Caenorhabditis elegans: one gene and its partners. The protein of the gene in region 1 interacts with the protein of each later gene in a pairwise test. Each region holds a gene or a part of one and is shown in the gene's direction. Other genes may lie near its edges.

What was found.
Region 2: the proteins of app-1 (region 1) and rnp-4 interact in a two-hybrid assay, tested with the Caenorhabditis elegans proteins (one large-scale study listed by BioGRID).
Region 3: the proteins of app-1 (region 1) and nas-22 interact in a two-hybrid assay, tested with the Caenorhabditis elegans proteins (one large-scale study listed by BioGRID).
Region 4: the proteins of app-1 (region 1) and nhr-129 interact in a two-hybrid assay, tested with the Caenorhabditis elegans proteins (one large-scale study listed by BioGRID).

What each region holds. Positions count from the first base shown.
Region 1 is NC_003279.8:4,963,539-4,969,138, reverse strand, and holds app-1 (Xaa-Pro aminopeptidase app-1), read left to right. Parts: upstream 1-2,049; 5' UTR 2,050-2,068; coding exon 2,069-2,188; intron 2,189-2,233; coding exon 2,234-2,614; intron 2,615-2,661; coding exon 2,662-3,096; intron 3,097-3,143; coding exon 3,144-3,197; intron 3,198-3,245; coding exon 3,246-3,385; intron 3,386-3,435; coding exon 3,436-3,803; intron 3,804-3,849; coding exon 3,850-4,022; intron 4,023-4,065; coding exon 4,066-4,245; 3' UTR 4,246-4,472; downstream 4,473-5,600. Other genes in the region: W03G9.5 (Protein kinase domain-containing protein), read left to right, coding at 1-94, 146-323, 756-854, 899-1,132; Protein pid-4, read right to left, coding at 4,901-5,128, 5,176-5,325, 5,372-5,600. UniProt on the Caenorhabditis elegans protein: Catalyzes the removal of a penultimate prolyl residue from the N-termini of peptides, such as Arg-Pro-Pro. Has activity towards the flp-9 neuropeptide KPSFVRF-amide.
Region 2 is NC_003281.10:4,403,609-4,408,265, forward strand, and holds rnp-4 (RNA-binding protein rnp-4), read left to right. Parts: upstream 1-2,677; 5' UTR 2,678-2,709; coding exon 2,710-2,784; intron 2,785-2,834; coding exon 2,835-3,080; intron 3,081-3,387; coding exon 3,388-3,495; 3' UTR 3,496-3,715; downstream 3,716-4,657. Other genes in the region: R07E5.17 (uncharacterized protein), read right to left, coding at 1-166, 214-475, 522-671, 718-803; snfc-5 (SWI/SNF Subunit INI1 DNA binding domain-containing protein), read left to right, coding at 1,181-1,419, 1,470-2,057, 2,102-2,284, 2,333-2,468; putative peroxiredoxin prdx-3, read left to right, coding at 3,836-3,994, 4,041-4,472, 4,651-4,657.
Region 3 is NC_003283.11:11,472,244-11,478,858, forward strand, and holds nas-22 (Zinc metalloproteinase nas-22), read left to right. Parts: upstream 1-2,455; 5' UTR 2,456-2,467; coding exon 2,468-2,672; intron 2,673-2,715; coding exon 2,716-3,109; intron 3,110-3,694; exon of another isoform or gene 3,695-3,747; intron 3,748-3,799; exon of another isoform or gene 3,800-3,880; coding exon of another isoform or gene 3,881-4,148; intron 4,149-4,192; coding exon of another isoform or gene 4,193-4,265; intron 4,266-4,321; coding exon of another isoform or gene 4,322-4,435; intron 4,436-4,485; coding exon of another isoform or gene 4,486-4,663; intron 4,664-5,062; coding exon 5,063-5,417; intron 5,418-5,465; coding exon 5,466-5,615; 3' UTR 5,616-5,764; downstream 5,765-6,615. Other genes in the region: Zinc metalloproteinase nas-20, read right to left, coding at 1-52; Zinc metalloproteinase-like protein nas-21, read left to right, coding at 330-540, 583-970, 1,017-1,201, 1,251-1,366, 1,414-1,656; T11F9.7 (YkgJ family cysteine cluster protein), read left to right, coding at 3,881-4,148, 4,193-4,265, 4,322-4,435, 4,486-4,663. UniProt on the Caenorhabditis elegans protein: Metalloprotease.
Region 4 is NC_003283.11:13,327,890-13,333,159, reverse strand, and holds nhr-129 (Nuclear Hormone Receptor family), read left to right. Parts: upstream 1-2,140; 5' UTR 2,141-2,148; coding exon 2,149-2,193; intron 2,194-2,426; coding exon 2,427-2,616; intron 2,617-2,660; coding exon 2,661-3,004; intron 3,005-3,047; coding exon 3,048-3,157; intron 3,158-3,213; coding exon 3,214-3,420; intron 3,421-3,464; coding exon 3,465-3,571; intron 3,572-3,617; coding exon 3,618-3,877; 3' UTR 3,878-3,975; downstream 3,976-5,270. Other genes in the region: nhr-168 (Nuclear Hormone Receptor family), read left to right, coding at 195-809, 855-1,156, 1,205-1,311, 1,671-1,930; str-37 (Seven TM Receptor), read right to left, coding at 4,294-4,358, 4,403-4,772, 4,843-5,270.

The sequences.
Region 1 (5,600 bases):
TTTTTGTTCGACGAAATTTCAATGCTCAAATGAAAGTTGATTGGGAGAAAGGTGGACGATATGAAAGCCATTTTGAGAAGAAAACTTCAACTTTGTAAGTTTTTAAATATTTTGAATATTATTAAGATAATTTGAATATGTTCAGGCCAGTTGTTATCGAGAAAGACATGACTGAAGTGGATCTGTCAAAGTTGCTGAATGTTCCGCAAAATGAGAGAAATATAACAATGGAAGAAATTATAGCTGCTGGTAAAACGACAGAGGAAGAGGGACTGAATACTGCTCAAGATGATACGATTGTTGAGGATGAAAATGGATTTTTGGTGAGATTTACGGCGAAAGTTGTTGTAGGTAGGCATGAGGTAGGCACGTAGATATGCAGATATGAGGTTGAGATCAGACCTATAGGCAGGCGCACGAGGGGTAGGCATGAGGAAGGCACAAAGTTAGGCAAGCAGAAAGTAGACAGGCAGGCATTAAGTTAGAACCAGGGAATGAATAATGAAGGCATGTATGAAGCCAGGCATAGGAAATGCAGTTTTGAGGTGCGCCTAGGCAGGTAGGTATGAGGTCAGAATAGGCATACGGGATCTGAGAATCAGGTAAGTGTGTGTTGCGTGTAGTTCTAATGCAAACGCGTAGGCAGGCATGGGGGAGCTCAATATTAATAATAAATCGTTATTAGGCAGGCATGCGGCAGGTAGATAGGCATGTAGGTAGGTGCCGTAGACAAGAGATATATTTGAAACATTCAGGGAAAACAAGAAGCCAAGCCGGCGACACCATCTGCTCGATCTGAAACCAGTAAGAAAGTGAAAAGGAGATATATTGCGAGAACACCATCGGCGCATAAGGTATAGAATACGTTATTCGACGTATTAAATTTTCCAATTTTCAGATTGAACAGATTGAAAAGAACTGGAAGAAGAAAGAGGAAGAAGCGAATAAAGAGAAGTTGCTGAAGAATGCACGGGCGGCACGAAGAGCCAAAGAAGATTTTATTGTTCCGGAGGATAATACGGTTCAAAAAAGAAAACTCGAGAGCACACAACTGTCGTCTGCAGTTTCCACGAAATCCACTAGAAGTATTGGAAAGAAGATTTTGCCGCCGAAATCATTTGAGCTTCATTGATAAATTTTATTTTTTAATTTTGTAGACACACAGACAGATGTAATCGTGCTAAAAATTACGATTTTGAAAAAAAACAATTTTTCTTTTTCTTAATTTTTTTGAATACGAAAGAATGAATTTCCAGACTGAAATTTTCATTATTCATTAATTTTCGCACGCGTAAATTTTTGGAGAGGAAATAAAAAACCGCGATGCGAGTTTGGGTTTTGCTGTTCACAGTTTGTTCAACAAATTTATTATGAGTATTTTTTAAAGGTTATTTTCTAAAATTCTAGACCTGAATTTCGAGCGAAACTCATTTTCAAATCTCCTCCTTTTTTGACCCATCAATAGAGCGCGCCTTCTCAGCTTTCGAGTCACCACCGATTAGAGGCCTGTGAGACCTCGTGTCATAAAAATTTCTGAAAAAAAGCGTGGATAATTCGTATCAGGACACGAATAAAGTTAATATTTTAAATGATCCACAGTGAAATTAACATTTTCATTGAAATTTTCGTCTTTTAATGATATTTCAAAACGTTTCCTTTGCGGTTTTCCAAGTTTCCACTTCTTGAGTCTAGAGATCTCGAGTCCGTAGATACTCTTCTCATTTTTTGGAACAGCGTTCGTTCTCGATTCGGCAGTTAATTTTTCATTTTAAAACATTTTTAGACTTCAAAAATAGTTATTTTTCAGTTTTCTTCTCAAAAAATTTCCACATCCTCTGTTGTTTTCATTCAATAGAATTCAGAGATGATTTTTGATTTCTGTATGTATAAAACCATTTGTGATTGCGTATTAAAACGATTGATCGACAATTTCGTCGTTGGTTTTATTCGTTATCAGCTCTAAAATTCGAGAAAAATGTGCAGACGATTAGACGCTTGGTTTTTAAATTTCTCTTTACAAGTTTAGCTTTAATTTTCTTTTTTTTTCAGATCGGGCAGAATTGGAGTGATGACAGCATTGGAAAAACTCGCAAAATTGAGATCCTTGTTCCATTCGGAACGGGTTCTCGCGCTCACTTCCAGCAAGCCGATGGTCGCGTATCTTCTCCCAAGCACTGACGCTCATCATGTTGGTTTTTAGGCTTCAAATAATCTTCTAAATGTTAATTTTCAGAGCGAATATCTAGCCGATTACGATTTTCGAGTGAAATTCCTGTCTGGTTTCAGTGGTTCCAATGCCTACGTTGTTGTTACCGATAGAGAAGCTCTCCTTTGGACTGATGGCCGATATTTCACTCAAGCCGGGAATCAGCTTGATTCCAACAGCTGGAAATTGATGAAACAAGGACAGCCCGATTCGATTACTGTCGTTGATTGGCTTGTGAGAGAGCTCGAGCGTGGATCCGTTATTGGATTTGATCCAACTCTGTCGACGTTCGACGCTGGTTCCAAGACATTTAAACGTCTGAAGGCAGCAGGTCTTCAACCAGTCTCGATTCCTGGAAATCTAGTCGACGAGTTCTGGACTGATCGGCCAAGACTCGCTGGTGAGCCAGTAAGTTGATAGATCTATACTGCGGGATTTAATGTTCCACTTTTCAGGTAGTCGTGCTCGATGTTGAAGACACTGGTCTTACAACTTCAAAAAAAGTCGAGAATCTTCGGGAGAAGCTGAAACAAAAAAAGTGCGACGCAGCTGTATTTACTCTTCTTGATGATGTTATGTGGCTTCTGAACATTAGAGGAAGTGATATCCCGTACAATCCTCTTGCATATTCATATCTCTTCGTGGCAATGCGCGAGATTCACGTATTTATCGACAATGAGAAACTCGATGAGAAATCTCGAGCCCATTTCCACAAATCGAATGTATCGATTCATCCATACGGAGAAGTCTATTCATGGATATCCAATTGGCTCAAGGCAAAAGAAGCGAGCAAAGAGCCTCACATGGTTTATCTCACACCAGAAACTAATTACGCTATTGGAAGCATTATTGGCGAAGAGAACTCGATGGTTGACACTTCCCTGGTTCAGGTAATTCCATGAATTTCTTGAAATTTTTGAAATTTAATCTTTTTCAGACCGCCAAGGCCACCAAAAACGATCATGAAATGCAAGGAATGAGAAACAGTCATGTAAGAATGGCTACAGCATCGTTTAGGATATAATTTAATTCTTTCTAGCTTCGTGATAGTGCTGCTCTTGTTGAGTTCCTTTGCTGGCTCGAAAAGGAGTTGCTCTCTGGAAAAAGATACACTGAAATCGAGTTAGCTGATAAGATAGACCATTTGAGAAGTCTTCAAGACAAATATGTTACTTTGAGGTTCGTTTGTTAAATATTTAAAACTACATTTAATTTATATTTATTTTCAGTTTTGATACCATATCAGCTGTCGGAGATCACGCAGCACTTCCCCATTACAAGCCTCTCGGAGAAAGTGGCAATCGTAAGGCTGCAGCCAATCAGGTGTTCCTCCTCGATTCTGGAGCTCATTATGGAGATGGAACAACCGATGTGACGAGAACTGTGTGGTACACGAACCCACCGAAAGAGTTCATTCTGCACAATACTCTTGTATTGAAGGGACACATTAATTTGGCACGGGCCAAGTTCCCTGATGGTATCTATGGTTCTCGTTTGGACACGCTGACTCGTGATGCTTTATGGAAGCTTGGTCTCGATTTTGAACATGGTACTGGACACGGTGTTGGACACTACCTTAACGTACACGAAGGACCGAGTAAGACGAAAACAGTAAATGTAACTGTTTGAATATTTATTTTCAGTCGGAATCGGTCATCGTAGTGTTCCAACCGGTGGAGAGCTTCATGCCAGCCAAGTGCTTACCATTGAGCCAGGATTCTATGCCAAGGAGAAGTACGGAATTCGAATTGAAAACTGTTACGAAACAGTTGAAGCTGTTGTCATGTCTAAAGCTCAGAACTTCTTGACATTCAAGGTATACCCAGATCCCAGGAACTTTATAAACTTATTAATTTCAGTCTCTCACTTTGGTGCCTATTCAAACTTCGATCGTCGACAAGTCTCTTCTGATTGAAGAGGAAATCAATTGGCTCAATCAATACCACGCTCGGGTTCTGAAGGAAGTTGGTGAACATCTTCAGAAACGCGGAAAAACGGATGAGCTGAAATGGCTCGCAGAAGCCTGTAAACCAATCTAAATATCTGGAACAATTACAACATGTTTTATATTATTTTAACCGGTCAACGTCTTGTTGAGCAAATTTGTGCTCAATTAACTATTTTTTATCACAATTTCTGGATCCTGGTGTAAAACTTATTCTCCCCGAATGATTCATCCGTATTCCCCTTTTTTTCTCCTGTCGTTCTTTCTCGCTTTTCCGTAGATTTCCTGTACTAATACTTGAGAATGAATCTTTTTCTTTTGTTAGTTGGAAAATTGAAACATAAATAACAATGCCGGCTAGCAGGTCTTAACAACTGTAAGCTAGAATGTTTGGTTGACGACATTTTGCTGTCGGATTTTGACATCGGTGCAGAGATTCAAGCCAAAGTGCTTACAAGTGAGCCAGGATTGGATGTAAGGTTAATAACGAATTTGAATTGAAAACTGTTGCGAAACTGATGAAGCTGTTGTGAACTGCATTCTCATAGATCCAAGATTCTCGCTTTTAACTTCTCCTCGATTTCCTGTATTTACAAATTCTTGAAAATGAATAATTTTTATTTGTTGATTCGTAAACTGAAATATTTAAAAAAAAGAAACAAAAATACGGACCAACGGGTCTTAACAAGTAAACTAGAATACGGTTTGATGACACAGATGAAAAATAATTAAAGCTTGAATATCAAGCACTAGTTGGCCGGCTTCATATAGCTGCCGCTCGCGGGAAATTTGAATTTTTGCGGAGATCTGTCCACGAATGGCTTCTTATTCTTATCGGCGATCCATGACGCTGGAATTGTGGAGATGCCCGGGGATGATTCCGCATTTTCAAGCCATTGATCTGTGCAGCATAGTCCCATGCAATCCCTATCCTCACAGAACAGCTTCGACATTGAGCTTTCTTTTGGTGGCAGCAACTGAAAATAGGATTTCGTTTTTGAAAAAGAGTAATATAAATTTATACCACAGCTGTTTCGATGTTACTCCAATCCTTTGGCTGGCCATTAAAAAAGCTGTTCTGGTAGATCTTCCGTTTTCCTGTATCAAATGATTTGATGTATGCACGACCCGTTTTCCTGATGTGCGCGATTCTCCGGGCAACATCTTCTTCGGTCTGAAAAAACAAGATACACTGGATGTGTATGAGAAAAATTGCTCACCTTGGCACCTTCAAATCGAACTTCAAGGATTGGAGTTGGGACATTCGCGAACTCCTGCGGCAATTTTCTCACAGTCAGATAATTCGTCTTCAGAGCTCTCATACTTCCTGTGTCAATCTCGATATACAAATCGAGTCCGGGTTGACTTTTGTGAGGACGAATACCACAGACATGACGAGCTCTTCGGAACATTGTACCCTCTTCCTGAAACTCCTGGAGGCACAAAATA
Region 2 (4,657 bases), on another chromosome or scaffold:
CTGTATTATTCTCTCCACTAATCAAAACCAACTCATGTATACTGTAGTTTTGGCAAAAATCTGAATTCTCAAAATAAAAATCTTCTCTGGTCGAATTTTCCGATATTTTGTTATTTGGAAGTCTGTGTTTAGTTTCTGCATAGTTTTGAAATATTTGAGTATTAATCTGAAAATACTACATCTTTAGAATGCCGAAATAATATCAAAACTTACCATTATATCATCTAATTCTATGAAAATCGAACTATTCCCACTTTTTTGAATTCCAACAACCACATTTTCACAGATATTTCCATTTTGAAAAGGTATTCTACATTCCATATTTCCCTTGGATTTATGAAAACATTCAGACATTTCTTCAGAATTTTCCCAAAAGTTATAAGAAAATTGAGTAGAAGCTAGACACTCCGATGATTTGATAACAGTGAAACATTTATCCGAAGATTGAATTATTGAACAATTCCATTTCATTTTACTGAAATTCTATTAATTTTTCTGTCAAAAAACAATTATTGTGATACCGGGCCAACTGAGGTGTTACAACTGGGTACTGTAGATCATCAAGAGGAAATGTTGAAGTTTTCGAGCTATCTGTTGGTTTTTCAAAAAAATCTTGAAAGAAAGAATCAACAAGAGTAGGAAAACCTCCAACTACGCGAAACGGATCAAATCTAGAAGAAATAAACCGTTTTTTTAGAATCCGAAATATGTACATACCCCAGGTTAATTGGAATTTCCCAATTACCAAGCCATTTATAACATAGAAGAAAAAGTAACCAGTTGCAGATAATAATAAATTTCATCTAAAACGTATATATTGCTAGGAACACATTTTTCCATGACCCCTTTCTCTTCAATTCCTTCGTTTCCATGGTAATTCCAATTTTAGTTGCCGAAATTTGGTAGTGTGCAATTGCGCCCCCTTGAGATACGCACGCGGCACGCTTCGCGTAGAACAGAATTTATTACTCGAATTTTGAACGGTATTCGCTTCTGTTTTCATGTTTTTCATGTTTTTTTCTTGAAATATATAATTTGTTTCAGCTTAAATCATTTGAATTACTATCATAATTTATTGTTTTTCTATTAGAATAGCGTTTACAACCACTGCTATTTGAAATTATCCGTTTCGTCGCATTTTACTCCCAGTTCTTGACATATTCGTATTATGTTTCAGGTAATGTCGAGCAGCACGAAAACGTTGTCTCAAACTTACGGACCACGTCCTCAGAGCTTCAGTCTAGATGAAGCCGGAGAAAGATACTACATCGGTTCTGAAATAGGTGCCTATCTTCGTCTCCATCGTGGAACTCTCTACAAGAAGTATCCATTATTATGGAGAAAAGTTGCAACTTCGGATGACAAAGACAAGCTGAAGCAAATTGCAATGTCAAATGCTTTTTTGCATACTAATATCATGTGAGTATAAAAACCAAAGTGTCAAATTTCATTCGGCAAGTATTTTACAGGCTGCTGAGAGCGCATGAAGTAGATGAGCTTCTCGATGGTTCCGAAGAAAAGTACCGAGCGGCTGGAGCAGCGCCTTCAACTCCAAGAACTGAAGGAGCTTCTAGAACTGTCGCTAAAACTCCTGCAACTGGATGGGCAGGACAACAAGTCACCAGCGGTTCACATCATCTCGAATCCGTTCCATGTTCTTGTCCGATAGCTCATTCTAGAGGAAGAATGAAGCATCGTGAATTAGTATATTCAGCAGAAGATTTAGAAATGTCGAAACGAGTGATGAAAAATGCTGAGGAAGGAGAAGATCTTGTGCCAATTCGATTGGATATGGAGTTGGATGGAATCAAACTTCGCGATACGTTCACTTTCAATAAAAACGAGAAAATGATCACTCCCGAGATGATTGCCGAAATTATGTGTGAAGATCTTGATCTACCATTGGCAGTTTTCCAGCCTGCTATTACTGCAGCAATTAATCAGCAGCTCGAAGCTTCTACAGAAGCGCCACCATTGGATGTGAACATTTGTGATCAGAGAGCCGTTCTCAAGTTGAATATTAATGTTGGAAACCAGAGTTTGGTTGATCAATTCGAGTATGTTGGAAATGCTAAAGACTGACAATTCATTTTAACTTCAGGTGGGATATGTCGGATCCTAATAACAGCCCGGAAGAGTTTTCACGAAACATCTGCAAAGAGCTTGGCCTCGGTGGTGAATTTATGTCAGGAATTGCATATTCAATTCGCGGACAGTTACAATGGAATCAAAGAACATATGCGTTTTCAGAAAGCCCACTGGCCACTGTTGATTGCCCGTTCAGGTAAATTTGATATGAAATAATGAATTTTTGCAAACCAATGCTATTCAGAACATCATCTGAAGTCGAATCTTGGGGTCCATTCCTCGAAACTTTAACCGACGCTGAAATCGAAAAGAAGATGCGTGATCAAGACAGAAACACGAGAAGAATGCGTCGTCTTGTTGGCGGTGGATTCAACTATTGAAGTATCTACTGATCTCTACGAAATCAACCTGTATTTAACGAATTTTAACCATTTTATCTCAATATTTTTAATGTGCACTTTCTTTTAATTTATTCTTTCCTCGATCTTTTCTCTACATTTTCTCGTGTAAACTGCTCTTTCCAATAGGAACTTGTGGCGGTTTTCAAACTGAATGATCTAACTGAAAATATAAATAAATAAAATTTCAGAGCCCGATCGTCTCAATCGCTTGAAGAGAAAAATGAGCGACAACGAAGTAGAGATGGAGGATGTGGTGGCCAACGCCGAGAGATCAAGAGGTCGAGGACTTGCGCAGGTAAATTTTGTCGAATTTTGTAATCAATAATCAATAATATATTTTTCTAGAGTCGCAATCGCGAGAGGATCACCTACGACGTGGTCGATGAAGAGTCGTCTGCCACAAGCGGAGCACCACAAAGATCCGTTGAAGGATGGATTGTCTTCGTGACAAACATTCACGAAGAGGCAACAGAAGATGATGTTCATGACAAGTTTTCCGAGTACGGAAAAATTAAGAACATTCATTTGAATCTCGACAGACGAACCGGTTTTTTGAAGGGATACGCACTGGTGGAGTACGAAACGCAGAAGGTAATATTTTAGCAGTCGTCGTTTCTATCGAAATCATTTACTATATATAAAGCGCTTATTCTGTGTGTCCATAGTTTGTAGTCTATGTAGTCTTTGTAGTCTGTGAAGTTTTGGCTTCTGTGGGGATAGTGAGTTGGGGTTAGTGTAGGGATATAGTCGGGGTACTGTAGTGGTACAATAGTGGTACGGTAGGAATACTGTAGGGTTACGGTAGTTTCAGAAAAATTAGTTTTCAGCCCCAGAAGTGGGGGGCCGCGCCGGAGGTGCGGTCCACGGCTGGTATCAATATAAATTATTTATTTTCCAGGAAGCCAACGAAGCTATTGATCAGAGCAACGATACAGATCTTCTCGGCCAGAATGTCAAAGTCGATTGGTGCTTCGTCAAGGGAAAGAAGACTTCTGGAAAGCGCTGAAAACCACGTACTTAATTGTCCTCTCCAATCCACGTTTTATGTTTTTTTACACGTCACTGTTAAGTTTTTCCTTTTCTATTTATTTTTTGTCCTCTTTCCCAATTTACCATTCGAAATTTTAAATATCTATTTGGTCTCAACTCGCTCGCTCTTCTCAATTTTGCGATTTTTGTTATCTATGTGACACATGCAATAACAGTGAATAAAATGACCATTTTTCAATTATCTGCTGTTGCTATTTTCTTTTTATCGTTAACCAGTTTGGAACGATTTGATATCTTCAATTGTTTCGTAGATCAAATTCTGGAAAAAAAGATTTCTGAATATCTGAGTTTTGCAGATGTTTTCTTCTGCTGTTCGAGCTCTTTGCCGCACGGTTCCTACTGTTGCCACCCGCCAGTTGAGCACATCTCGTGCTCTTTTGTCACTTCGTCCACTTGGACCAAAAAATACTGTCCCAGCTTTCAAAGGAACTGCTGTCGTTGATGGAGACTTCAAGGTTAAAAATAACAAATATATATATTTTTTTCAAAAATTAATTCCAGGTGATTTCTGATCAAGACTACAAAGGAAAATGGCTCGTCATGTTCTTCTATCCACTTGACTTCACCTTTGTATGCCCAACTGAAATCATCGCATACGGAGATCGTGCAAACGAGTTCCGTTCTCTTGGAGCTGAAGTTGTCGCGTGCTCGTGTGATTCTCACTTCTCTCACTTGGCCTGGGTTAACACTCCACGCAAGGACGGAGGACTCGGTGATATGGACATCCCTTTGCTCGCTGATTTCAACAAGAAGATCGCCGACTCGTTCGGTGTGCTCGACAAGGAATCCGGACTCTCATACCGTGGACTTTTCCTCATTGATCCATCTGGAACTGTCCGTCACACTACTTGTAACGATCTTCCAGTTGGAAGATCTGTTGATGAGACTTTGAGAGTGCTCAAGGCATTCCAATTCTCTGATAAGCACGGAGAGGTGAATTTTGAAATTTACAAAAAATTTAATTTCTAGCAAAAAAAATGCAATGTTTTTTTTCCGAAACTTTGGCCCGCCATAAAAATATTTAAATTTTTGTTGAAAAGGAAATCGGTCGTTTCGGGCTAGTTTTAGTCCATTAAAACAAATTTCGACGAATAAAAAATTAATTTTTCAGGTTTGCC
Region 3 (6,615 bases), on another chromosome or scaffold:
CCGAAGGGACTCCAATCAGAGCTACGAGCAAAAAATTAACTGTTATCTTCATTTTTTCGAAATTTTCTGGAAAACATAAATCTACTACTTATTTATACAGTTTCGGTATAATTTATTTCATTGTTAAGTGTTTTAAACAAGTGCAAATCGGGTTAAGAAAAGTCTATTGTGCATGGAAATTCAAAAAAAAGCGCAACAAAAGAATTCAGAAATTCTTTTAGGGACTCGTTTGGATACTGTATTAATTCATATGCACTTTATAAAGGAGTATATTGTCTTGCATCGACTATAAAATACTTCATTGGATTTTTTTATTCGTCGCATTTGCAATGAACTATTTTATTACTTTCTTCTTTATGCATATTGCTGTATTGAATTTTTATTTTCGATTTTCGAATGGAAATAAGATTGTAATGAGAGTCGGTGGTAGTCCTGAAACAAAAAGATTGGAGCGATCAAAGCGTCAAGCTTTACGCATGGACAATGAACCTCGATGGCCTCGTGGAACTATTAATTATTTTTTCGATGAACAACGTTTTGGTAAAACTTCAAATTCTGGCATTTTTAGTTATTCATTTTCAGATGAAAATTCGAGAGCAACCGTGCTGAGAGCAATGGAAAAAATATCTAACCACACATGTATCAAGTTTTCTCCAAAAGATGCACGAATAAAACTTCGAATTGTGAGTGATAAAGGATGCCAAGCGGCCATTGGACGAGTTGGGGGAGATCAGCAATATTTGAGTTTTCCTACATCTTGCTATAGTGTTGGAAGTGCAAGTGAGCTGATTCATGTAATTGGCTTTCTTCATTCTCATCAAAGGGCTGATCGTGACGAATACCTTAAGTTGAACTTGCAACCATGGAGATTGAATGATTGGTTTCAAACAATGCAGTATAAAAAGTATTTGGATCAATGGTGGATTGTACCATATGATTATGGTAGTATCATGCAATACCATGATTCTGAGTAAGTATGTTTTTGGTGAGAAAATAATAAGTTTAAGAAATTCCAGTAATGAATATGGGCCTAAAAATTCAAAATACTTCCGAACAATGGGTTCGCAAATACCTTCGTATTTCGATTATCTGATGATTAACGAATACTACCAATGTTCTTGTGAAGGGGAAGAACAAATAAACTGCAAGAATCGAGGGTATCCAAATCCAGGAAATTGTTCTGAATGCAATTGTCCTCTCGGTTTTGGGGGCTGACTGTAGCGACGTTGCAAAACCAGCTGTCATTGTAGAATCATCTGAAGAGTGGAAAAATATAACTCTAAATTTGGATGCGGGCTATATGTCATTACAGAATGGAACCAAACTTCACCAAATAGATTTCGTATTCCGTTATCTTTCTATTTCCGTATGTAAATTATTATCACTTACATACAAATTCATTAGAAATTACAGGCACCAGCTAATAAGACTATCGAAGTCGATATTCGAGAGATTACTGGAGTAGAATGCAATTATGGTTGTTACATTGGTGGAATTGAAGTTAAAACTCACGAAGATCGACGAATGACTAGTCCGAGACTGTGCTGCAAGAATGATAATGAAATATACAAATCACGAAACAATCCAACAATTGTTATGGCATTTAACTCAGAAGGACTTGATAAATATAACATTTTCTACAGATTTACGGATTGAGATAAATTCTATTTTTACTTCCAGGCTTTTTGTGATTTTTTGCATGAAATTTCTGAAGAATAAATTTTAAATTCACAATACAATCGAAGGTTTTGACACGTTTATCATAATTTTGAAAGTCGACCAAAAAAAATTGTTTTATTATATTCTTCCATTTTAATTGAGCTTCAATAATTATAATTGAAACATTCGAAAATTATTCAAATAGACTATATTTTTTGGAGATTTTGGCATTTTGTCAAAACATTGGCTGATAACTTCGAAAATCTGGAAATTTTTTGAAGACTTTAAATGTGTCAGGCTAAATCACCACTTTCAACTTTAAAGGTCTTGAAATGTTGGGGAAACTTTGAAAAAATTCGACTTTAAGAGCATCCAAAAATTGAGAAAAATTGTCGGTATTTGATTGCAGCTCATTGTTAGATTAAGTAAACCAATTCTGTGAAGCTCTGATGCCTAGTTGCCGGAAGTACCACACAGGCCTGTTATTTAAATTTGTTTTGTTTTCCATTCCATTCAGTATATCATTTACTTTTTTCATTTACTTTCATTTAATCACAGTATATTTAGTCAACTATCATTTACAGTATAAAAACGCGTTACATATAATTTGCCACTTGTCTGCTCTCCAAAAATGATTGAAAAAAAAACAATCATCGAAACACTCCCTTCCGATTTCATAGTTTCTCAAATAGTCTTTGTGTACGTACAATTGGTGTTTTATTATTTTTGACTTACAAAAGAACTACTGTATTGTCATTTGAATGTATATAAAAGCACAATTGCAAGCACAGTCCTTGTAGACAGAAAAATGAAGTCGTTTTTTATTCTTCTCTCAATTTTACAAGAGTGCTATGGAAAGGATATTGTTGCAAGAATTGGTGGAAGAAATGTCGCCGAAAAAATTGGTGGAGCCCGTCATAGGAGACAAGTATTGATTCGTGGGTCAGATGAAGAGCGACGACATAAATGGTTCAACAATACAGTACATTATTATTTTTATGAAGAAAATTTCGGTTAGTGTTCATGTGATGCAAATTATTTCTCAAATTAATTAAGATTTCACTGTGAAAGAGTCAATACTTCGTGCAATGGAATTGATATCCAATCATACCTGCATTAAATTCTCAACAGAACCATCTGAAAAATCAATTCGAATGGAAAGTGATTCCACGACAATCGCATGTTATGCAGAAATTGGTCAGGTCCGAGAGAATCAACTTTTTAGTTTCAACTCAGACTGCTATTCTGCTGGTGTTGCCGTTCATGAACTTATTCACAGTTTGGGATTTATTCATGCACATCAGAGATCCGATAGAGATCAGTATCTCGAATTCAAGAAAAATCTCGATGAATTAAACCAAACTTATCAGGAACAATACAAAATTTGGGAATATCAAGAGATACTTGTTCCATATGATGTTGGGAGTGTCATGCAATATCCAAATGAAGAGTAAGTCGGGAATCTAGCCTAAATCCACTTATGTTTCACAAATGTTTAAAAAATGTGTTATTTGTTTAGAAACTTCTAATTTTCCTCAAGTTCAAATTCTAATTCTAATTTTCAAAAAAAAAATCTGAAAAGTTTTTGGGCATTTTGGGACATTTTCCAAACTGATGGTCTTTTAATATAGTTTTTTTCCGAACTCGGTAAAACGTTGCAACTTCATAGCACACTTTTGCAACTTCTTAGCCATCTTTTCATGTTTTAACTTCTTAACAAACCCCTGCATCTTCTCATAAGACTGTTGCAACTTCTTCGCAAAGATACAATTAAATTTCTTCTGGCGACGCACACGCTGCTATTCAGACAGCTCCTGCAAAGTTCTGCAGATTCCTGCAGACTTTAAACACGCGAGCACGCGCCGAAGAATGCGTTGCGGCTAGGTTTGTATTCGAATTGTTTTTCCTATTTTCATGGATTATTTGCAGATTTTTCGGTTTTTCTGATTTATTTTCAATACTTTTTTCACAAATTTATTTCTCCACACAAATTTTTATTTTTTTTACAGATGGAAGACGAGTCAAGCGCCAAGTATCCATACAGAGAGTCAATGCCACGTGCGGAAAGGGTATCAATGAAAGCTCTCCGTAAGTATTCATCGAAATAAAATAGTTATTGTTTTTATTGAAATATTTTTAGAAGACGAATGGAGACACTTGTTTATTACACGCGCTGAGGGAGAAAACAACATACACAACCCGAAAATTCCGGAGGACACAAATGATTTTGATGACGATATGCCTATTGAATGTAATGAATCAGAAGAAGAAAGCATCACTGGAGACCGTGAAGTGTTTTCTGTTCATCATAATGAAGAGGATGAAGACCAAGAAGATTCTAGCCAAATATGCGAAGAATCAGAACCACAGGAATTGTTCGAAATGTTCGGTATATAACATCTGCTGCTACACATACAGACCAAAATTGTGCCGTCGTACTGACAAACATTTCAAGGAGCTTCCAAGTGGACTTATCAATATTATTAAAGGTATATATGTTTACTTGAATGAAGTTTTAAACAGCAGCTTTCAGATCTCTCTCTGGACATTTCTGGATTGTACCTGCCTCAAACCCTATTGACAGGAAGAATTGATCTGAACGATGAGTGAGTTAACTAGATTCACATCTAAAAATAAATTCAAAATTCAACTACGTTTACAGGTTCGTCGCATCAATTGAAGTCGAGGATGCAGAAAAATCGAAGGAAATTCTGCGACGACGAAGGGAAAGACCGTTGGCATTGAGGCAGTTCAGTCATGCTCTTTCAAGAGCAATGTGAGTACCTTATATTGAAGCCTCATATCTAAATAGGAGCATTTTTGTAGGGCGAATCTTCGCACATATCATTATGATGTGACGACCGAGAAGATTGAGAGGTGTCCAATGAGAAACTCTTGCAAAGGACATTTAAAATGGGAGCAGATGCGAAAATATCGAGCTCAGTGCAAGAAGAATTTCAAAGACCCTAGCCTGGCGACTGTGGAGGATATGATGTCAAAATGAATTTCAAATTTTGCGACCCCAAACAATGCGTTAATCATGTTTTTTGTTAATTTGTTATATTTGTTAATTTATTTTGTTTTGTTAATTACCGGAAAAATGAAAATTTAACCGAAGTTAGAGTTATAATGAATAGAAAACATTTATACAGAGTAATTTTCAGCAAATATGAGCGTTTTATATGCAACCTAATGCAATCTGCAGCAACTTCGTGACAGAGTTCTGCAACTTCATAGCAGCTTTTTGCAACTTCTTATAATTGTTTTTATTAAGTTGCAGAAGTTTGCTAAGAAGTTGCAAGAGTGTGCTATGAAGTTGCAACGTTTTACCGAGAAGAATTAAATTTAAAATTCTTGTCAATGCCTCAAATTCATATGAAAACAAAACGTAGAAAAATTTTAGAGACGAGGAATATTACCCAGTAAGAAAATACCGTACAATGGCAAATACCATGGGATCTGCAATAGTAGCTTTCTACGACTACCTAATGATCAACAAGTACTATGAATGTTCTTGTGCAAATAATCTATCGTGTAAGAACCATGGATACCCAAATCCTTCAAATTGTTCACAATGTAATTGTCCATATGGATTTGGCGGAGCTGATTGTAGTCAACGCGCCGAGCCAGGTGCAACTTTTCAAGCAACTGAAACTTGGCAGAATGTCACAATTTCTTTAGACGCTGGATATAGATATTTGGAAAATAATCAGAAACTTCCGCAAGTTGATTTCATATATCAGTTTTTGTGGATTATGGTACATTTTTTCTCTGAGTGAATTGTTTTAAATTAAAATTAAATTTAGGCCCCAGCTAACAAAACAACACAAATTCGAGTGGAGAAGTTTGTAGAAGGAAAGTGTTTGCCTGGATGTATTCGGGGTGGTGTTGAAATAAAAACAAATGAAGATCCACGGTTGACAAGTCCACGTTTATGTTGTGAAGAAACTTCATAGATCCAGTCAAACTCCAACAATTGTCATGGCGTTCAACGAAGAAGGGATTGATGAATATAATATCTCATTTAGACATGTTTGATAAATATTCATGATTAAATTATACTCGCTACATAAGTTCACTTTAAATATGAAGTCTCAAATATACAGTTACAACAGAAGAACGACGTCACTAGTAATATTATTGATTCTACTCCGCCCATGTTTACACTATTTATGGCAACGCGCGGAAACCGTCAAGTGCCCGTTCATTCAGTAAATGGTGCAAACTCGAGTGTACTCTATCTTTAGCTTTGCGCTGGGGCGATAACGTGACCAATGAGGCTTTGCCGAGGTGCGTTTATTGCTGGTTGAAAACTTTTCCCAATTGCCCGCGATGTCCCCTGAAACATGGGTGGCATACGCAATTTTTGAACGCCTCTAGGAGGCAGAAAATCTTATTATAAGATCGGCTCTCATAATAAACTTGACATAAAATATGATATAAACATAGACGGAGGATATTATCATTTTCAACGTAGCTTATCACATCTTAACCGAATGTTCTCGAAATCTTATTTATTTATCGCAACCTTACTTCCCTTCCCTCTGTAATCCCATCGCAGTATTATTTTCTCTCGTACAGGCCTTGTTGAGCAAATCATTGCCAATGTTGATACAGTTCCATGATACGGGATCAATATATATACGAATGCGAATTTATCTGAAATCGAGCATGTTAACGGCTGATCTAGAAAATAACTTACATTCATCTCCGATTGATTCCGATTGAATGCTAATTTTAGAAAATCCGAAACTGGAAATATGAAGAACAAAGAATTTATAACTGCTTGAATCACAACACTGACAAAAAACATTTTTTGTATTTCAATCGTTTTCCTCGATGCAACAAGCTTCAGTGCACGAAGTCTAAATGGTATGGCAATTAGGGAAATAACCACTAAAAACAATGTAGTGGTGGTAACTGAACACATGGATACCAAAGAATACATGTATTGAT
Region 4 (5,270 bases), on another chromosome or scaffold:
TTTTGATGCACATATTTCTGACGGGTTTTTTTTGAAAACAGAGCAGTGTTCCTGTCTGCCAGATCCGAGTGCATAGCGCTTGAAAAGCGGATTATTAGTCCTTTAATTTTATAAGAAATTTGGAAAAAAAAAATTGAAATGTTACTTGTTCACGTTCAGGTTCCATGCCCATTTCAAAAATTATCGTGTTACAGCTTCCATCAATAATTCAAAAAGAGCCCAACCGCACAGCAAGATCGGAATCCCCAGCACGTCAACGTCACCAGAGACCATCCGAATGTTCAATTTGTGGAAAAACTGCAAATGGATACCACTACGATGTACCATCCTGTAATGGATGCAAAACTTTCTTTAGAAGATTGTGCGTCTCGGAAAAAAGTTTTATTTGCAAAGCCGGCGGGGACTGTTTTAACTTGACAAAAAGAAAAGTTCCACTGAAATGTCGAGCATGTCGTTATGAGAAGTGTATATCAGAAGGAATGAATCCAAATGCAATGCTACTTGACGAAAAAGAAGCGACAGCTGAAAACTTTAAAAAATTGAAAAAGAGAGTAAATCAGTCAAACCCAAAAGATCCAGACGATGATAGTGGCGAAGATATTGAGCATCAAATCGAGAAAAAACAAGTAATCAAGGATGTTGCATGCATTGAAAATAAAATGCAAAAACTGGTGGATATGCTTAACTATTTGGAAAGGAAGGTAACAAAATTCCGAATGTCGGCATACAATCCCCACTGGAGCACATTACCCGGACTAGAAGCATTTCTTTTGTTAGAGAATAAAATTAGCCTTGCTGATAGATCTGGAGTATGTTTTTGTCAACATAGGTTAATTTGTATACTTTACTTTCAGCCAATGCCCGGGTGGCCGTTGAAAACTCAATCGAGTCCTCCGAAAATTCCGGAGTTTGGTAAAAAACCAACTGGCCCAGCATATTCCCCTGATCAGAAATGTTGGATCCTCTACGATTTGATGGTATCCATAGAATATGCAAAAACATTTATGTTTTTTCATCAACTTGATTCAAGAGACAGATTAGTTTTGATGAGATATGTTGCATTGGCTCTAATGAATTTACACATTTCTTATTTTACTGTTGCTAAAAAATATGATACAATTATTCATCCAGATGGGAAACTGGCACCAATGAAGAAGTGAGTTTGCAAAGAAAATATTTGCAAAATCAATTTTTAACCTTTCAGAGGAATGGTTTACGCGGAGACAGTTATGTCAATTGCTCCATTAATAAGATGTGAAATCCAGGAAACGGAGTTTGTTTTGCTAAAAGCAATATGTTTATGTAATCCAGGTAAGCTATCCGGCATTCGATGAAAACTTTCGGACGAATGTTGGCAAACTATTAGAAGTGTCTCAAATAAGTTCTGTAGTTTTGCCATTATGTTTCTAAGTTCAATTTTGCAATTTCTTTGCAAAATCTTTCCATAATTTTTTAGAAAACTTTCCCAGCAACTTCTGAAACCTTTATCTAAACCTTTTTCCATTGTTTTCAACATGTTTTTCAACTAGAAACTTTACATCGCCAAATACTTTTCCGAATCTGGTCAGAAATATGGTACCGAATCTAAAAAATAAATTACGGCAAAAAGTAGTTTTCAATAAAAAGATTACTAAAACACTCTGCGAGAAACGGAAAATTTCACTTTTTAGCGGTGCCTGACCTCTCGCAACACGCCCAAGAAATTCTTGGCAGGGAACGTGAACAGTACGCCGACGCTCTATTTGATCATTGCCTCCGAAACAGAAAAGACGGGCCGAGTCAGTTTGCTGAGCTGATTGGAATGGTCGACCTACTGGAGCGTCAACAAAGAATGCAGAAAGATTTACACCTGTTACACGTTGCACCATTTGTTTCCAAAATTCCTCAAAAGGATAAAATGTTGTTAGTAGATGATATTATGAATTTTTAGTTTTTATTTAAAGCCAATTTACTTAATTTGATTCTCTGAATTAGCTATTCTTGACTATGATTTCTTTGACAATTTTCGAGTACATTTTGTGATCTCAATAAATTATTTTGTTGTGTTTTGTTTCATTTTTTAATAGAAACATCATGGCTGATTTTCCAAAAAATATTTCATATGGCTCTATTTTTGTTTTTATTATCACATTTTTTGCAGAACATCACATGGACGAACCTAGTTGTTCCAATAGTCCTGTTGACCTTCCTGAGGTAATTTCATACACCTGCAATTTTGTAGCATAAGCATCCTAATGAAATGTTGAACCAAGTTTTTGTGATTAAATACTATATTTTCTCAAGTACCTGACAAGTATTATACCTGACAAGACAAGTATTATTATGAAGTAAATTCGCAGTATTTGCCAAAACTGGCAGATTCTGAGACAAAAAAAAAATGTTCGAGACACCATTAATATCTAAAAGTCAAATCAGTTGCTTTCCAGATCATTCCACAACTAAAAGTTTATGCTGAACGACCAAAAGATTGCTTCGTTTGTGGTGGCTCAGCGTCCGGATATCATTACGATGTACCTGCATGTAATGGATGTAAAACTTTTTTTAGAAGATATGTAATTTCAAAACGATTGTTCACTTGCAAACTTAATGATGATTGTTTTGATTTATCAACTAGAGGTTTGCAAGGAAATGAAGTTATTAGAAAATCAATCAGTTTCCAGATGTTCCTGTTAAATGTCGAGCATGTCGAATCAACAAATGTTTTGCAGTTGGGATGAATCCTCACGCGTTAGAAGTAGATAAAACGAACACAGATTGTTTGAAAGAAGTAACCAAACGTAAAAACATGATAGGCAACGATGCTGTAAATGAAAAGCAATTGGTCTTGAACAGTTTGGAATCGATGGAAAACAAAATTCAAAAAATCGCTGACATGTTGACGTACCTTGAATTAAAGTTGGATCAATTTCGAGCATCTTCTTACAATCCACATTGGGCCGAAGTTCGCGGATTGGAATTTGTGTTGAATAGTACAAATCGAATCAGTTTGGCAGACAAGTTTGGGGTATTTAAAGTCGCGCATATTCGTCTGAAAAATGATTTTTTAGCCAATGCCCGGATGGCCTCTTCTCGATAACAATCTGTCCCCATCCCGTCCTCCGCCTTTATCACACGAAAAATTAGTTATAGGTGGACCACCTCCTTACTCTCCAAAAAAGTAAGTCACATCACATAAATTGGGAAAAAACTTACAGTTAAGAACGAGTAATTCAGAAAGCATTGGCTCTATTTTAACATGCTTGCAACAATAGAATACGCCAAAACTTTCATGTTTTTCCATGAGCTTCTACCAAGAGATCAACTTATTCTGATCAGATATACAACACTGGCATGTGTGAATCTACTAGTTTCATTTTCGTCCGTTTCAAAAAAATATGACACTGCAGTACATCCAGATGGAACCCTTCAAATGCACAGGAAGTAAGGCAGAAGTAATCTAACTTCTAATACCACCTGAATTTCAGTCAAGAATATTATTCAAGCAATGTCATGTCAATTATTCCACTAATACGGTATCAAGTTCAACAAATTGAGTATGTCTTACTAAAAGCTATTTGCCTATGCAATCCAGGTAACAATTTTCCATTACTTGTATGACTAGTTATTGATTGTTTCAGCCGTTCCTGATCTTTCCAAGCATGCACAGCTTCTGTTGGCCGAGGAACGACAGAAGTACTCTGAAGCTCTACTCGATCATTGTATTCGAAACATTGGAAATGGTCCAAGCCGTTTCACTGATTTAATTGGAATAATTGATGTTTTGGAACGACAGCAAAGAATGCAAAAAGATCTACATCTATTATATATTGCACCGCTTGTTGCAAAAACACCAAAGGATAATATCGTGCAAATAATTGAAGATGTTATGGATTCATAATACTTTTTTGTGGATAATGGATTTTCTGGGTTTATTCAGCTTTTATTTTGAAGTTTTAAATTTCTTATTTTGATAATAAATATCATTTCATTAAAAAATTATTAATTAAAGTTTTTTAATAAATAACTGCACATAGTGCCGGTAGTGGCCGTTTTTAGAGATTTAACTTTTGAAGATTTGGCATTACGTACTAGAATTTTCGTATGTTGAGAAATACATTTTATTCTATCGATTTACATAAGGAACTAATTTTGCAAAGTTAAGATTGATTGGTTCTTGGAATAACAACAGTGGTAAAACGGGCCAAGCTTAAAGTTGACGTGATACGGACTTCAATAAAAAGGCAAATAATTAACATCATTTGCACATGATAATCAACATGTATTTTCTAAACAAAAAACCTGAACGAAATACATTCAGGCAAAATTTGTTAACGAAGTTTGATTAGTGGTGTCGACTGTGTTAGAACATTTGAAAATTTCTGAAAATAATTTAAATTATAAAATATTTCACCAAAGGGCTAACTTCTAATGCACACTTTATATTCAGAAACAATAAGCATGACAGCAATACTGTCCAGTGACGGATAAAAACTGATTCCCCAATGATAAATACTCGAATTAAAACTGACTTCAAGATTCAGAATAGGCGTGCTCAATAATATCATCATTGGGAATGTTAGGAAGATAGTTGGAAGGGCGATTTGTATTATTATTGTTTTGAAAAACTGATTTTCAAGTTTTCGATATTCCGGTGAGACATGTTCCAATTGTTTCAATAAGTTGTGTCGCATTTTTAACGCACAATAAATAATTATTGAGTAGAGACTGTTCAAAATTATGGCTCCTATGAAACAGTACGATAAGTTTTTCCAACGAAAATTGTTGTTTTCATCCTAAAAATAACTTATTATAGGCGGGACTGGAAATGAGGCTGCCAGAATTTTTAACTAAACTAGAACTCACATATGCTACAAGGATCAATCTTGCAATTTCTGTAATATTTCTGGAATAAACGCGGTGAAATTCATCTTTTACATATTCATCAGCATAATCATCTGGCTGTAACATAATAAGAGGAGTCACACAAAATAGTGCTCCAACACCAATTACAAGTAAGACCCAAAGCCAGAGTATTTTTCCTTTGAAAGTTTGCAAAATGCGCGTATCATTTAGAAGAGTTGCGTATCGAAATATGAACTGCACCGCAATTATAGTAATCAAAGAGCAGTACATTCCGCCGTAAATATCAATGAAAATAGTCCAAAAATATAAAAAATCTTCAGAAAGAATTGTGTGACTGAAGTATGTTAAGCTGCCGTTGAAATTGTGAATGTGTGGACGAGAAATAAATTCAGTTAAATCAAAAATTATACAACCGAAAGCAAACCATA